4 linked regions of the Saccharomyces cerevisiae S288C genome follow. Changing the gene in region 2 together with the main gene of any one other region gives a genetic interaction. Each region holds a gene or a part of one and is shown on either strand. Other genes may lie near its edges.

Evidence for each region.
Region 1: mutations in IMP21 (region 2) and PRI2 together harm fitness more than expected from each alone (negative genetic interaction), as found in Saccharomyces cerevisiae (2 studies listed by BioGRID).
Region 3: mutations in IMP21 (region 2) and ABD1 together harm fitness more than expected from each alone (negative genetic interaction), as found in Saccharomyces cerevisiae (2 studies listed by BioGRID).
Region 4: mutations in IMP21 (region 2) and FRA1 together harm fitness more than expected from each alone (negative genetic interaction), as found in Saccharomyces cerevisiae (2 studies listed by BioGRID).

The regions. Positions count from the first base shown.
Region 1 is NC_001143.9:351,860-355,647, reverse strand, and holds PRI2 (DNA primase subunit PRI2), read right to left. Parts: upstream 2,156-3,788; coding exon 569-2,155; downstream 1-568. Other genes in the region: DCW1 (putative mannan endo-1,6-alpha-mannosidase), read left to right, coding at 3,024-3,788. UniProt on the Saccharomyces cerevisiae protein: DNA primase is the polymerase that synthesizes small RNA primers for the Okazaki fragments made during discontinuous DNA replication. In a complex with DNA polymerase alpha (DNA polymerase alpha:primase) constitutes a replicative polymerase.
Region 2 is NC_001141.2:53,481-56,863, reverse strand, and holds IMP21 (Imp21p), read left to right. Parts: upstream 1-1,842; coding exon 1,843-2,883; downstream 2,884-3,383. Other genes in the region: VPR1 (Vpr1p), read right to left, coding at 1-319; peptidylprolyl isomerase RRD1, read right to left, coding at 485-1,666; GUT2 (glycerol-3-phosphate dehydrogenase), read left to right, coding at 3,156-3,383. UniProt on the Saccharomyces cerevisiae protein: Controls the nucleo-mitochondrial dependence of galactose, maltose and raffinose utilization. Becomes essential in the absence of functioning mitochondria.
Region 3 is NC_001134.8:689,816-693,208, reverse strand, and holds ABD1 (mRNA (guanine-N7)-methyltransferase), read left to right. Parts: upstream 1-1,515; coding exon 1,516-2,826; downstream 2,827-3,393. Other genes in the region: DEAD-box RNA helicase PRP5, read right to left, coding at 1-1,240; VHC1 (Vhc1p), read right to left, coding at 2,946-3,393. UniProt on the Saccharomyces cerevisiae protein: Responsible for methylating the 5'-cap structure of mRNAs.
Region 4 is NC_001144.5:79,498-84,238, reverse strand, and holds FRA1 (aminopeptidase P), read right to left. Parts: upstream 2,779-4,741; coding exon 529-2,778; downstream 1-528. Other genes in the region: RRT7 (Rrt7p), read left to right, coding at 3,542-3,883; mannose-ethanolamine phosphotransferase GPI13, read left to right, coding at 4,034-4,741. UniProt on the Saccharomyces cerevisiae protein: Involved in the regulation of the iron regulon in responss to decreased mitochondrial iron-sulfur cluster synthesis.

The sequences.
Region 1 (3,788 bases), on a different chromosome or scaffold from region 2:
TCGAGGTTGCATCACGGCATTACCAAATCGGTGAGATACTGTCCCTCCCATGCGTTTTAAAGGCCAGCCACGTATCCAGAAAACGCAGCACCTGCATTTTTTGGTGGCGGAGGCTATGCTGGAAAAGGTAGTTCTTCCACTGCAGTAACTTCTGCCACAGTAAATTGGCGTGGATAGGCCCTGCAACATATTGCAGGTTTAAACGGAAAGTGTCCCCGCTTGTAATGGAAGAAAACGGTAAATTTTAATGAAGTGTACAGGCATAAAAGACAGGCGGTTAGTTGTTCTGTGTTGCCTGTCACAGAGGAACAGCGCGATAGCTTGCAGCCACAAAATTATAAGGTTTCTCTGGCCAGCTATTAAAGTATGAAAAAATTCGGACAATATACATATCTCGGACGTTTTCGGAGCAGTGCAGTCACTGGTATTGTACAGCGTTTATCGTTTCTCTTTTTTTTTTTTTTTCTCACTAAAGAAAATTTTTGACCATACTTACAGTAGACTAAATTACGTATACTATTAATCCTTTTTAGTTATCTCTTCGCTTTTTTCCTTTTCCCTTTCTGCACTAATGATTACCATTATTGAATAGTTTTTCCTTTTCCAGCTTCTGCTGTTTCTTTTGCAGTTGCCTTGATCTTTCGAAGTATAGGTTAGGATGCGCGATATGCGTTTGCTCGCCAATTTCCAAATCCGCTGATGCAGAGTTGTGTGTCATTTCAAACACTTTAGTGCAAGCAATTGTGTATTCACCTTTCTGGCAGGAATCCAGAACACTGATGATCTGCGCTTGGGTCAACTTCATAGAGCGCAATTCTGCAGATAGTCTCTCGTGACTCCAATCACGGAAAGGGCATCCATGATAATCTCCGCGCCCAGGTCTGGGCTTGGAAAGGATAGTGTGACAGTCCCATGGTTTGTAGTTGATTCTGTTACCTTCAAGACCGTAATTATGCCTGAAGCTGTAACGGTATTCTTTATTGAACTTCTCCATTGTCATGTTCCCATTTCTTGTAAATGCCTCAGACCAAAATTTTAACGCTTCATCAGCGCTCAGGCCGATACCTTTCAAAAACAGACTCAGTTGTTGTCTCCCATAATACCTCAAATGATGGTTCTTTTTAAGACCCTCCATCAGGTTTTTGATACATAGCGGATAGTTTGAGCTAATCTCTTCAGACCAGACACTTTGCGCATTAATCTCATCATCTACGTTCTCACTGAATTGGTTTGCCTTTTGCTGGTTGAAATCCGCGATAGTGTACCCCGACGAAAGATGATTTAGAATTGGTAACAACCGGTCATCCTCATTCAGTCTTGGTAAGTACTGGTACGTTTTTATTAACTCCTGGTTCAATTTGCTAGCAAACTCATTAGAAAGTAAATTCAATTGCTGGAATTGTGGTAAATATGCGTACCCGTCCTTCAAAAACACTAAACGGTTTCCTACCAGTTCTATCACATTTTCGAAAGGTAATTTTATGAATTTTTCCTGTTGGAAATACTGTTTTCTTTGATGTTCCTCGTTTAAATTCAATTGGAACTGTAGAGACGCAGAAACTGTTTGATACAACTGATGAGATAATTCGGCCTTTTCTTCATTTGAGATAAACTGTAGTAAGGGTAAGTCCAATGATTGAACAAATTTTGTTTGATCGGTGGAGGTTAGCATGTTAAATCTAATTTTGAACAAAAACGTTTCAGCCCTGACGAATTTTTCCCGCAGTTCTTTTGAACGACAAAAGCACAATCTTAAAATGAAATGAGAGTAGTAATCCTTTTTTCTGTCTTCTAAACTCTCTGTGTTGAAAGGCAGTAGTTTTTGGAACTGCGGCTTGATAATGGTTTCAATTTCTTTGATCGATTTGTTTCTTGAAAGGCAAGATTCGATCTCTAACAGAATTTTGAGACGATCGATTGCCCAGATCTCAAATTGTTCCAACGTTATTTCTCCCTGTGGTGGTAAATCGTAAAATGATAATTTAGACTCATACAGCCTAGCGTAAAGTTTTTTCTCTTCTTCAGATGAACTTGAACTTAAGATGATCTGGTTAGCTGCATTTGTGTTGCCTACGTCCAATTCGCTTTTGACAATATCATCGTATGAACTAAAATTCTTCCTTGAGGCAATTCTTCTTTTTGACTGCCTGAACATTTCTTCTCCTTATTGTGCTTTACCTGCTGTCACTGGTTGCTCCACCTGGGTAGTTATCAGTCCTGTCAAAGTTGTGCAAATTGGAGAGATGTAGATAGTAAAAAATTTACTTTTGCAAAATCACAGGATTTAATATCGAGTTTTACGCGATTCCCCGCGACGCGTAATTTCAAATCAAGTTAACTATAAATGAGCAGGAAAAAGCAAATAGAGTGAGCAGCAGATATGTAAGGCAATATTGAAACAAGAAGAGACCTGTCGTATCACCTTTGGCCTGATAAAAACAGTGTTTCCATGTCTGTCTGTAGCAGCGGAAACAATCCTACGCCGTGCTTCTGGGCTCTTGATGATGTAAGATGTTCCGTTTCATGAACGCACTGGATCTCAGCTTATAACTGTTGGTTCAGAAAAATTCAATCATTTATTTAAAGAATGTACCGTACGATGAATATACGCTATAAATGCTTCCATATATGTATAAGTGTATCGTACTATATTCGTAGCGGTGTCCCGTCACCCGGTTTTGCACCCGTTCGAGGCGCGATTTAATTTCGTACATCCAGAAAGAAAACTGGCAGATGGAAATAAAGCTCGGATTTCATGATGATCATAGGTACTCTTTGTATAATGGGCTCATCTATTATATATTCACTGTTACTGTGTTGATACTCATATTTTATAAGCAGCTTAATAGGTGTGCGAACGGGAGGATTTTTGGTAAAAAGAGGCTTAAATTACAAGATACGAAAGGGTCAAAACGCTAGGGAAACCTTTCCAGGACATATAATAGTGGATACAACAAAATACACACCACTTTTTTTCTGAGCTTTCTTTCTTTTCAGTCTGTTTTAAAAACGAACACATAAAAATGCTAGTAAATAAAGTGATAGGGTTACTGGGTGTACTCTTCGCAACAAGATTTACAAATGCCGTCGAATTGGATCTAGACAACTACGAATCTTTGCAAAATGCTACTTCACTAATTGCCTACGGTTTAATGGATTATTACACTGGTAATCAGTATGGTAAGACGGTCGGTATGTTTTCAGATCCGTACTATTGGTGGGAAGCCGGTGGTGCCTGGGGCTGTATGCTAGATTACTGGTTTTTCATGGATAACGACACCTATAATGATGAAATTATAGCAGCAATGATACATCAAGCTGGTGATGATAATGACTATATTCCGCTAAATCAATCTACCACTGAAGGTAATGATGACCAAGCCTTTTGGGGTATTGCTGCTATGACTGCCGCGGAGAGAAACTTTACTAATCCTCCCGAGAATGAGCCTCAATGGCTATATTTAGCACAGGCTGTTTTCAATACCATGGCTTTGCGTTGGGATGCCGATTCCTGTGGTGGTGGTTTGAGGTGGCAAATTTTCGTTTGGAACTCTGGTTACGATTACAAGAACACCGTTTCTAACGGTGCCTTGTTTCACATAGCTGCAAGATTAGCAAGATATACAGGTAATCAAACATATGTTGACTGGGCCGAAAAAGTTTACGAGTGGATGGTCGGTGTGAACTTAATTTCTAATGGTACCTATAAGTATGTTTACGATGGTGTCAGCATTGATGATAATTGCACCAAAGTGACCTCATATCAATGGACATATAATCAAGGTTTG
Region 2 (3,383 bases):
GAACCAACTGTCGCAGGGGAGGCGTAGAGTTTTGTGATCGGATATTCTGGCGCTGCTGCTGCTGCTGCTGCTGCTTATGATGTTCTTGTTTCAGAACTAGCAATGAAATGGGCATATGATTACCGTCATGTTGCACGTTCGGTTGCACACTTGATTTCGATAGTATTTCTGAGAAACTGTTGGTGCTTTGTTGTTTTAAAGGGTGATGAGGTCGCCTGGTTGGAGACCAGGATATAGAGCTTAGGGACTGCCCCGGGGGGTGTTGTTGTTGCTGCTTCTGATCCTGATATATTACCAGGCCCCTTCTCTTGTGACTCATTTGCTTACACTGTGGCGACTTTTTCCACTTCTTTGTTTATTTGTATTACCGCTTCCTTTTCCTTTTTTCATCTGATTATATGCTTATATATTGTAGACGCAAGTAAAAAAGAACGAAAATAGAAGTCATAATGCTTGTCATACACATTTATATGTTTAATTAATATTATCTACGTAGTCTATCTCTTGAAAAAGAAGTCTGGTTCCGGTGCGACTGGTTTTGATGGCTTAGTAAATAGTTGATATTGTTACCTGACGGCGGAACGCCTGGGGGAGGCATTGACGTGGACGTTGGGAATCGTGTTGAAGTCTGTTCTCGACCGGGCGATCCTGCGTTAGCCTGTTCTATACTCTCTTCCTCCTTTTCTTCAAAGACTGGAAGATCAGTGCCGTTTTGAATGTTGACCCAGGGAAAGAAGCCTGTGCCGAACCAGAAATGTTGCACCACGGGGAACTTCTTCAGAACCTCTACAGAATACATTTTTAGAAGCCCCTTACACACTTTGGACCAGCGTGGAACGGTGACGGCAATATCGTATAGGATGGGGGAATGCTCTTCAAAGGGCCCCATTTTCACCTCATTAATAAAGTTTATGCCTTGGCAGTAGAAGTTGGTGTCCTTATACTCGCGCACCAGAGACTTATCCAGTATTTCTCTTGGTTGCAAGGGTGCTTGCGCATCAAGCAGCTGCCATTGAGACGAGCCCAAGATGTACACCAAGTGGAAATGGTCATCAAGCCCCCACACGCCATGTGACCCAGCGGGCTCCAGCGTATACGTCAGGATCAGCCTCCTCATGATCGTGTAGTACTTGTTGAACAGCAGAAAAACGTCTGCCCCCCTCATGTGCGGAAACATCCCCAGCATGTCCAGTGCTGCGACCGTGGCCATGAACGAAAGTTCGTGGCCCGTGCCGTAGTCCAATCTTGTCGACGAACCAAAGCTGTTGCCCAGGTAATACTGCAATTCAGGCACCACCTCATGGTATTCCGAGGGAAGCATTTCCTGCAGCCACTGAGGCAAACGTTCATCCAGCTTGTGATGCCACTCGCGGCATGCTAGGTTACCATACCTTCTAGGACCTGGAAGAGGCGGTGTCTCGTCGATCAGGTGTGCCAGCTTGTCCAACACTCCCATCAGCCCGTTAACCATGGCGATCGACGACGCAGTAGCGTGCGGGTCGGGGTCAGAACAGTGCGATATCAACGTAGTGTACTTGTGAAGATGATACTTGATTCTGTGAATGGCTAGTGACGATTGGAAGTCCAGCGTTGTCTGCGTATCGAAGATACGCTTCACCGGCGTAGAGAAGGTGGCGTGCGGCCAATCTACACGATCCAGAGACATTTCTTTGCTCGTTTAATGCTTGTTCATATGTGCGTTCTTTTGCACTTTGCACTTTCTTCCTATTTTATCTTTTTAAGAAAGCTTTAAAGGTCCGGAAAAAAGGCTTGATCAAACACAAGAGACTATGGAAAGGGTGAGTACCAAAAGAACCAACAAGAGAAACAACCAAGTACGCAATGCAGAAGAGCATATTGCTGACTAAACCTGACGGAACACAATCGAATCTACACAGCATCAAAACGGAAACGCCCACCACGGTGGAGTTCGACTCGGAGCAGATGGAAAGGGGCCACAGGGAAAGAGGTCGTAGCAAGAAGAAAAGAGGCGAACGAGACTCAAACGTGAGCAGTCTGTCGCGGTCGAGAAGCAGGGCCAGTAGCCGCAGCAGAGTAAGGGAGGAAGAGTTCCTCAAGTGGACCGTGTTGAGGCAGGACCCCTCGATGCGGTTGAGGGTCGTGGATGTGGATTCTGAAGAGGAAGGTGAGGGCAACGACGAAGATGACGACGACGGCGACGGCGACGATATGGACGAGGAAGAGTCCGATGAAGAGCAAGTGAGCGATATAGAGAACGATTTAGAGATTGACGAGGAGTTCCACTACGATCTGGGCATGAAAGTGTTACCCAACTTTTGTACCAGCATAAACGAAGTGCTAGACTCCAGCAAGCCCTGGATAGCCAAGTACGAGATCAGCATCCGTGGCCACGAAAACGAAGACGTGTCTCTGGAGCAACTCGACGGAGGCTACGTCAGAGCCATGCAACTACTCACCAAGGGTGCCGGCGCAGAGGCCGGGAACCAAAGGTCCTTCATCCTCTACACGGACCTGAGCAGCGAGTCCACCTACGCCCTGACCTATCTCATGGGCGCAGCTGTCAACCAGGGAGACACCGTCTACATTGTCCACTGGGAGCCCTCGAAGCCCACGGACGACTCCCAGATGTTCGCCAACGTTGCCAGAATCAGAAAGCACGTCATGCACCTGTTTGACTGCGTCGCGGGCGTGCTCGACGACCTCGACGTCGTCGTCCTCTCCTTGACCCATCCGTACCCAAAACACCTCCTCAACGAGATGATCCACGGCCTCAAGCCAGTCGCCCTGTGCTGCTCCCTCTCGGTCATCCTGTCCACTCTGCAGAACTTCGTCTGCTCTGTGCCCATCCTCGCGGTTAGAAAGAAGCTGAAACGTGCCAAGCGCAAGGGCATCAGCGAGTGACCAATAATCACTGCACTAATTCCTTTTTAGCAACACATACTTATATACAGCAACAGACCTTATGTCTTTTCTCTGCTCCGATACGTTATCCACCCAACTTTATTTCAGTTTTGGCAGGGGAAATTTCACAACCCCGCACGCTAAAAATCGTATTTAAACTTAAAAGAGAACAGCCACAAATAGGGAACTTTGGTCTAAAGCAAGGACTCTCCCTCCCTTATCTTGACCGTGCTATTGCCATCACTGCTACAAGACTAAATACGTACTAATATATGTTTTCGGTAACGAGAAGAAGAGCTGCCGGTGCAGCTGCTGCCATGGCCACAGCCACGGGGACGCTGTACTGGATGACTAGCCAAGGTGATAGGCCGTTAGTGCACAATGACCCGAGCTACATGGTGCAATTCCCCACCGCCGCTCCACCGCAGGTCTCTAGACGAGACCTGCTGGACCGTCTGGCCAAGACGCATCAATTCGACGTGTTGATCATCGGTGGCGGG
Region 3 (3,393 bases), on a different chromosome or scaffold from region 2:
TTACTACGAACGTTATTCTTTTAGTACTAAGTAATTTCCCATCATTTAGTGTTAATATATCAATAAATCGTCCCGGTGTGGCAACAACAATCTCAGTGCCTCTTTTAAGATCAGTAATCTGCTTTTTCATTTCAGAACCTCCTGTACAGCATACTGATCTAATGGATGTATCTGCTTCTGTGAATTTAGTAACTTCTTCATGTATTTGTAAAGCTAGCTCTCTAGTTGGAGCCAGAATTAAACCCATGGGCCCTGTTTCATGTTTTGATAATGGCCGTTGAGCTTTTACTTGTCTTAGCAATGGTAAAAGATAGGAGATGGTCTTGCCGGAGCCAGTTTTTGATATTCCTATAACATCACGACCTGACATAATAGCGGGAAGAGCCTGGGATTGAATAGGCGTTAAGGAGCCAAAGTGCAACTTTTCTGTAATTAAAACCATGGTGTCCGTTGATAGTCCCAGTTGAGACCACTTTGTGACTGGTTTGGGGCAACCTGTTCCCTTTATTTTGATATTATCCAGACTAAGTCTAAGCTCCTCAACTTCCATCTCTGACATCGAGGAAACTGTTTCAGATTCTATATAAAAATTTTTTTGGAACGGCTCAAGCTCTTCTGGAGAGTAATAAATTTGCTTTACACGTTTTTTTGCTTTGAGTTTAGCAATTTTCGCTATATTAGAATTATCCGTATTATCTTCAACATCCTCATCGTCGGTTCCTCCAAGTTCAAACAATTGATCCTCTACATCAAGAATGTCGCCTCTGTCGTACATGCCTTTACTATTACTCATTTTCTCCTCCTTCAATGACGTCATAAACTCATCCAGTGGATCTTTTTCATTATCATGCTCTGGAGCTTTTTGAATGTGCTCCTTCGATCTAAAAGAAACTCCTATTTCAGAATCATCGTCATCACTGAAGTCGAAGGATATTTTCTTCTTTACCTTACTTCTCTTCGACTTTTTCTTCGAAGGCTTAACCGATACAGGTTCGTCAGATTTCCTAAATTCATTTTTTCTCTTCCGAAGCTCTTCTTTTACACGTTCCTGTCTTTCCGTAAACTTTTCAGTAGTCTGCTTACCTTCTAAACTGTTAGTAACAATGTCATTGCGTGAAGTTTGATGCTCTTTCTGAGCATCAAATTGTGCTTTTTTTTGTTTCCATTTTGCTAGTTTTTTCCTCCTTTCCTCCAATAAAGACTCCCTATTAATATTTTGCTTCGAATCAATAGTTTCCATACCTCAAATAAACCCAAGGCAACAGCGTTATGATTTCCCTTCTCGAATTATTTGGCGCTGTATTATATTAGAAAGAACTCTAATACCTTTAGTTTGGTCCATTGCTCTAAATGACTTTAATTAGTTTCATCTAATCCGGGTAATGGTAAATCAAGATATTTCAACATAAATTAGAAGATTTCTTATTTTAATCCTTTACATGTGAGACACTTTTCCGATTAATGTGACAACTACTACAACGTGGAGTCGTCCATTATCCGTCTTAGAAAAGTAGAATGTCAACCAAACCAGAGAAGCCAATATGGATGTCACAAGAAGACTATGACCGTCAGTACGGCTCAATTACTGGTGATGAATCGTCCACAGTCTCAAAAAAAGACTCCAAAGTTACTGCCAATGCGCCTGGTGATGGTAATGGATCATTACCAGTTTTGCAAAGCAGCTCTATCCTTACTTCTAAGGTGTCTGATCTACCCATTGAGGCAGAATCCGGGTTTAAAATCCAAAAGAGAAGACATGAAAGGTATGATCAAGAGGAAAGATTACGCAAACAGCGTGCTCAAAAATTGAGAGAAGAGCAACTAAAGAGACATGAAATAGAGATGACTGCAAATAGATCCATAAATGTTGACCAGATTGTCCGAGAGCACTATAATGAACGTACAATAATCGCCAATCGCGCTAAGAGGAATCTATCGCCTATTATTAAGCTTCGTAATTTTAACAATGCGATTAAGTATATGTTAATTGACAAATATACAAAACCTGGAGATGTCGTTTTAGAACTCGGATGTGGCAAAGGTGGTGATTTAAGAAAATATGGTGCTGCAGGTATTTCACAGTTTATTGGTATTGACATTTCCAATGCCTCTATCCAAGAAGCTCATAAGAGATACCGGTCCATGAGAAATTTGGACTACCAAGTTGTGCTAATTACTGGGGATTGCTTTGGCGAATCATTAGGTGTTGCAGTAGAGCCCTTCCCAGACTGTAGATTTCCGTGTGATATCGTTTCGACGCAATTTTGCTTGCATTATGCTTTTGAGACCGAAGAAAAAGCAAGGAGAGCTTTACTGAATGTCGCCAAATCACTCAAAATTGGTGGTCACTTTTTTGGCACGATACCAGATTCAGAATTCATTCGTTATAAACTGAATAAATTTCCCAAAGAAGTGGAAAAGCCATCTTGGGGAAACTCCATTTATAAAGTGACATTTGAGAATAATTCATACCAAAAGAATGATTATGAGTTCACATCGCCTTATGGTCAAATGTATACTTATTGGCTAGAAGATGCTATAGATAATGTTCCTGAATATGTTGTGCCATTCGAAACCTTAAGAAGTTTGGCTGATGAATACGGTTTGGAACTAGTATCGCAAATGCCTTTTAATAAATTTTTTGTCCAAGAAATTCCCAAATGGATTGAGAGGTTTTCGCCTAAAATGAGGGAAGGTTTACAAAGATCTGATGGTAGATATGGTGTTGAAGGGGATGAAAAGGAAGCGGCATCATATTTCTATACCATGTTTGCATTCCGTAAGGTAAAACAGTATATCGAACCGGAAAGCGTAAAGCCCAACTGAAATAAAAATGAATAGAAACAATAACCCTACTATAAAGCATCTGTATTTCGGCCGTATTACAAGACTTCTATATGTAGTAAATAAGTTCTGGGGAAATGCATAACGATATATGTGTTATTCTATAATGCAGTAGTTACTGTCATGGTTTGCGAATTGATTAACATGCATGGAGGTAAGCCCTCCAACCAAATATCCAAGTCCTCGACATATTGTAAACTTGCATCGTGATCTTCATGTGTTCCAAGAGCTGGAACTGGCAAGGTTGAAAAAATTAAATCCGAACTCTTTGACATTTGTGTCATCACATCATTCAGAACCAAATGTTGAGCAGTGCTGGGAAGATCATTGAAACCTAAATTTTGCATCGCTGTGACTAAACTATCTTTTGAACAACAAGGTGATAATTCGGGAAGAACCGGTTTCTTTAATTTGTTGCCGTTGCCAATACCGCTCCCAGTACCGTTCCCATTCGAAAGGTCAGGTTCGGCAATTGGGATCAGTGTCGGCTGTTCACCCGTGCCATCTTCCACGACTCTCGTCCTCGGCAAAGTATTACTCGAGAAAACG
Region 4 (4,741 bases), on a different chromosome or scaffold from region 2:
AACCAAAGCAACGGGGTCTGGCGGAACCTATAATCCGTTGTGACCGGGCCCGCATAAGGAATTCTCGGCTCTTAAAATAATCTATCCTGCGCAGAAAATACTGGCTGGCAAAAAAGAAATACTAAATCAGACTCCTTGTCTTTACGTTGGCTATGTAGTCCAAGCTTGGCAGTACTACTGGTGCCTGGTTATAAGATTGATTTTTGTGACTCTTGCGGAAAGGTTCGCCGAGCAGGGACCCTGGATGAAAAAATTTCTTGATGAGGCATCAGTATAAATCACTAGGGGGCTGTACATGCATGGTCGTTTAAAATCCGACTACGCACATTAACTCTTTTTGGCACTAAAAGCGCTCGGGGTTAAGTGTACCTACCCCTCTCCGGCCGTAAAAAAATGAAGGTAATGTTTTCAATTTTCACCTTTTAGTCATTATTGTTGTTATTGTTATCACTCAAATTAAATAAAAAGAAAGAAACTACTTAGAATAAATACTAACATTAATTGTATTGCGCCCCGCTCGCCTCGAAGTCATAGTGGGCTTGTTTCTCTTTTCAGCCACTTGTATGAAATACTCTGAGGCTGCAGAAAATGCACTATTGTCCTCCATACCCTTGCGTGGTACTCGTTAATCTGTGTTTTTTCTTCTTCGTTTAGTAACTTAGTATTGATCAACTTCCTGCAATAGGGAACCACAGTCATGTTTTCGAATTTCAAGAAGTTACCCTTCTCAGTGGCCTTCTTGATTAACATGTCGCTTTCAATCCTGATACCATACTCACCATCCTTATAATAACCTGGTTCGTTACTTATTATGTTACCCGCTCTTAAGGGGAAATTCATCAGATGTGGCCTAAAGCCGACACCCATGGGTCCTTCGTGAACGTTTAAAAATGATCCGATACCATGGCCTGTGCCATGTTTGTAATCTAACCCGCGGGACCATAAAAACTGCCTAGCGATGGCGTCGATATTAAACCCGGGAGTGTTTTCGGGAAAAATCAACCTCTCTAGGGCTAAGCCACCTTTAAGTACCAGTGTGTAATTATCCATTTCTTCTTTGGTTGGCTTTGTTAAGTGAATTGTTCTTGTTATATCAGTTGTACCCTCCAAGAATTGCGAACCGGAGTCGCAAAGATATATCTTGGTAGGATCAATCATCGAAGAGTTCTCTACGGGCGGCGAATAATGTATGATGGCGGCGTTACTACCTGTGGAGGATATTGTTTCGAAGGAATTGCCCATGAAGTTCCTTTGGGTTTTCCTAATCTCGGTCAATTTTTCTGCGGCACGATATTCATCTATCAGTGCCTCGCGCCCCACTAATTGCTGCTCCAGCCATGCAAAATACTGCACTAAACATACTGCGTCTTTGACCTGCGCCTTGTGTGCGTTTTTTATTTCGATGTCATTCTTGATAGATTTCAAAACATCGATGGGTGAGTGAATTATCGCAAAGTTTTGTGCAGTCATTTTTTTAGCTATTGCACCGTTAGCGTTGGTTGAGGTGTTCAAACAACGAACCATCTGCCACGATGCACTATCAGGAATCAAAAATTCATGCTCCGCAGAAGAAGCCTGCGAAGTTATCTTTGTTAAATGTTCCCATATCTGTTCGTAAGGTCTGACTTCAATACCGTTTATCTTAAAATATTCCGATATGTCATCATTGAAGGGGTTATTGGTGAAAAGAATGGTTTCGTCTTCGTTAATAGCCACGTAGGAGAAAAAAACTGGATTATAGTCAATGTCGGATCCACGCAAGTTCAACAACCAACAAATTTCATCCAACGCAACTACTATGAAAGTATTCCTACCGGTCGTCGCAGAGGAAGCCTTATCATTCAGCTTTTTCAGTAACTTTTCCTTCTTGTCTTTGAATTCTTCACCATGAAACTCGTATTTTAACAGTAGTAAATCGTTACAAGGCCTTTCAGGTAGAGTTTCAAAATCAGGCCAAATACTGTCAACTAAGTTTTCCTCCACGGGAACCAGCTCCACTTTACCCTTTGCGTCATATTTAGTGTCAATCATTTTTCTAAAAGAAACATAGTCGTTGAAAGTGATAAGTTTTGGGTCAATACCTATCTTCAACACCATTCCCTCTTTATTGCCAAGTCCCTTGGCCATTTCCAAAGCTTCTCTGACACACCATTCTTGCCAAGTGATTGGGTCTTCGTTTTGCCTCAAAAGTGTCCAATTATAATCTAGTTCTTGTCTAGCTTGATTGAAATATCTTCCATCAGTACTCAAAATGGATTTCCCATCCGGATGGTCATCGTTGAAATTTAACAAGTCTCTGGTGATACAGGCTACACCGGCCGATCCGGAAAACCCTGAAATGAAGGCGCGCCTTTGATCTCGCAATGATACATATTCGGACTGATGTTCGTCACAACTGGGCACAATATAACAACACAAATCGTGTTTCTTCATCTCCTGACGCAACTTCAACAATCTATCAGTAGTGTTAACTTCCCTGTTAACAGCGCATAGAGAGTCACATGAGTAAACAGACCCATTTCCAGCACTGCTACCTCCGCCAGCGCCCTTCAACTCGTTGAGAAGCATGCTGGAGGACCTCCTTGAATTTTCTAACTGTCTTAAAAATAGAGAGGCTCTACGACCTTGCCTAGACAGTAAGCCTGGAGAACACGTACAATCCGCACATGGCCTAAACGGTCTGGGGCTGTGTGATGCCGATGTTCCTCTCATGTGCGTGCCAGGTACATGGGAAATCGAGTGAGCCCTGCCGTCACTGGTGGATGGTTTCGAAGTCATATGAAGATTTTGTTTGTAATTATTGGTTTCGCTCTGTTGAGGTCTCCGTTTTTTTTTTATTCTTTTTTTTTTTAGCTATGCAGTCTTTTTGCCAGTGCTTCCTGCCTTTCCTGTATTTGTAAATATTGCACCTATTAAGACTAAACTGACTCAGTTTTTGTATGTCGCTTCCTTCTTGTTCCATCCCTCATTCGAAGTATTTCTGAAAAAAGAAAACGTAGAAGAAAATTCGGGAAAATGGGGTGCGATTTTTAGGGGTCACCCGGGGATATACCTTCGGGTAACACCAGAAGTCGTCAAAAACAAAACAAAATTAAACTAAACTCTGGCGGCTAAAAGATAATCATAATGCACATAGGGAAAGCTTTCTACCATATTTGAACACTTTAACGGTTAGTTGAAATAATAAGAAATAATTATATGTTTATTTTTACGTGGGTTATAAAGACGGGTAAATTATCTTCGTTATTACTCATGAAAACCTACAAGTAAGCGGCTCAATGGCATTTCGTGGCAGATAATCTTCAGCTATCATTATTATTTTTGAGAGGATGGTTTTTAGGAGCAGTTTGAGGAATAAACAAGAGCTTAATGTACCGTTATACATTTTTAAAAAGCTGTCTTTTTTATTGGGTTCACAGCTCTCATTTTTTTCCATGCAAAATCATTTTTTTAGCCGCCGATGCTTCAAAATGGGTTTAAGATATTTATTGTTTAAATGTTTCTGCATCTGGATTCACTGAAAAAAATTTAGACGCCTAACATGTATTTTGCATTTAAAGGATTATGCGGGAGAAGATTTCTGCCCATTGCCTCTTTTCTTACTATATTGAATAGAATATTATTCCAATACTGGCTTTTTTACAATTCATTAAAAGAGGAAAAGACATTTCAGAAAATTTTCTTCTCTATGAACCTTAAATGTAGGAAAAAAAAGGAACCAAACCACATCATTTACTCTCAACCGCCTTTCTTGTTGGGGTTCATGGTACAATTGCAAAGTTGTGTCAAGTTGTTGCCACTCTATCTTTTGTTTTTGTTACAGGGTAATGGCGCACATTATGCAAGCGCGATGACGAGCAAGGTACTTTCTTTTTTCCTTTAACATTTTGTTGTCCACCGGAAAATAAAAAAAAACAAATAAATGGGTAAGATCAAAAAAGGAATAGAAGCATATGTTTTAAGGGCAACGCCGAATCGTCAAAGAACGGGAGGAAGATCAATACATTAAGTGGAAAAAAAAAGCTCCCGTAATATGGATGAAAAGACAATTAAAAAGTCGATTCTTTCATCTTCCAATGATGAAAAAATAATATACAAATCGCGAATAAAGAAATTTCAAAAGAATCATAAATTTTATATTATTCTATTGGTTTTCATCGCCATTTTACAATTCATATCAATAGCTTTTTTCACTCGGGGATTCTTACTGTCAAGACACGTTCTTGATAATATTTCCTCACAAAACGAAACGAGTAAGTTACCTCCTAGGTTCAACAAGGCGGTGATTTTGGTTATTGACGCTTTGAGATTTGATTTCGCTATTCCTGTAAACGAATCCCACTCTAATTACAACTTGAACTATCATAATAATATATTATCATTGTATGATTCTTTTGCAAGCGATAAGGATGCATCTTCCCTATTGTTGAAGTTCATTGCCGACCCACCAACCACTACTTTACAAAGACTCAAGGGTCTCACAACAGGGTCCTTACCGACTTTCATTGATGCCGGGTCTAACTTCGATGGAACAGTAATCGAAGAGGATAACTTTCTTAAACAGCTCCATTTGGCAAATAAGACTGTCAAATTTGCCGGAGATGATACATGGATGGCTCTGTTCCATCCGTTCCTTTCCAACGATAGTTTCCCACTAGAATCACTCAATGTGTGGGACTTAGATACTGTCGATAACGGTGTTATGGATTACTTCCATGATCATTTACAGCAGGACAAGGAA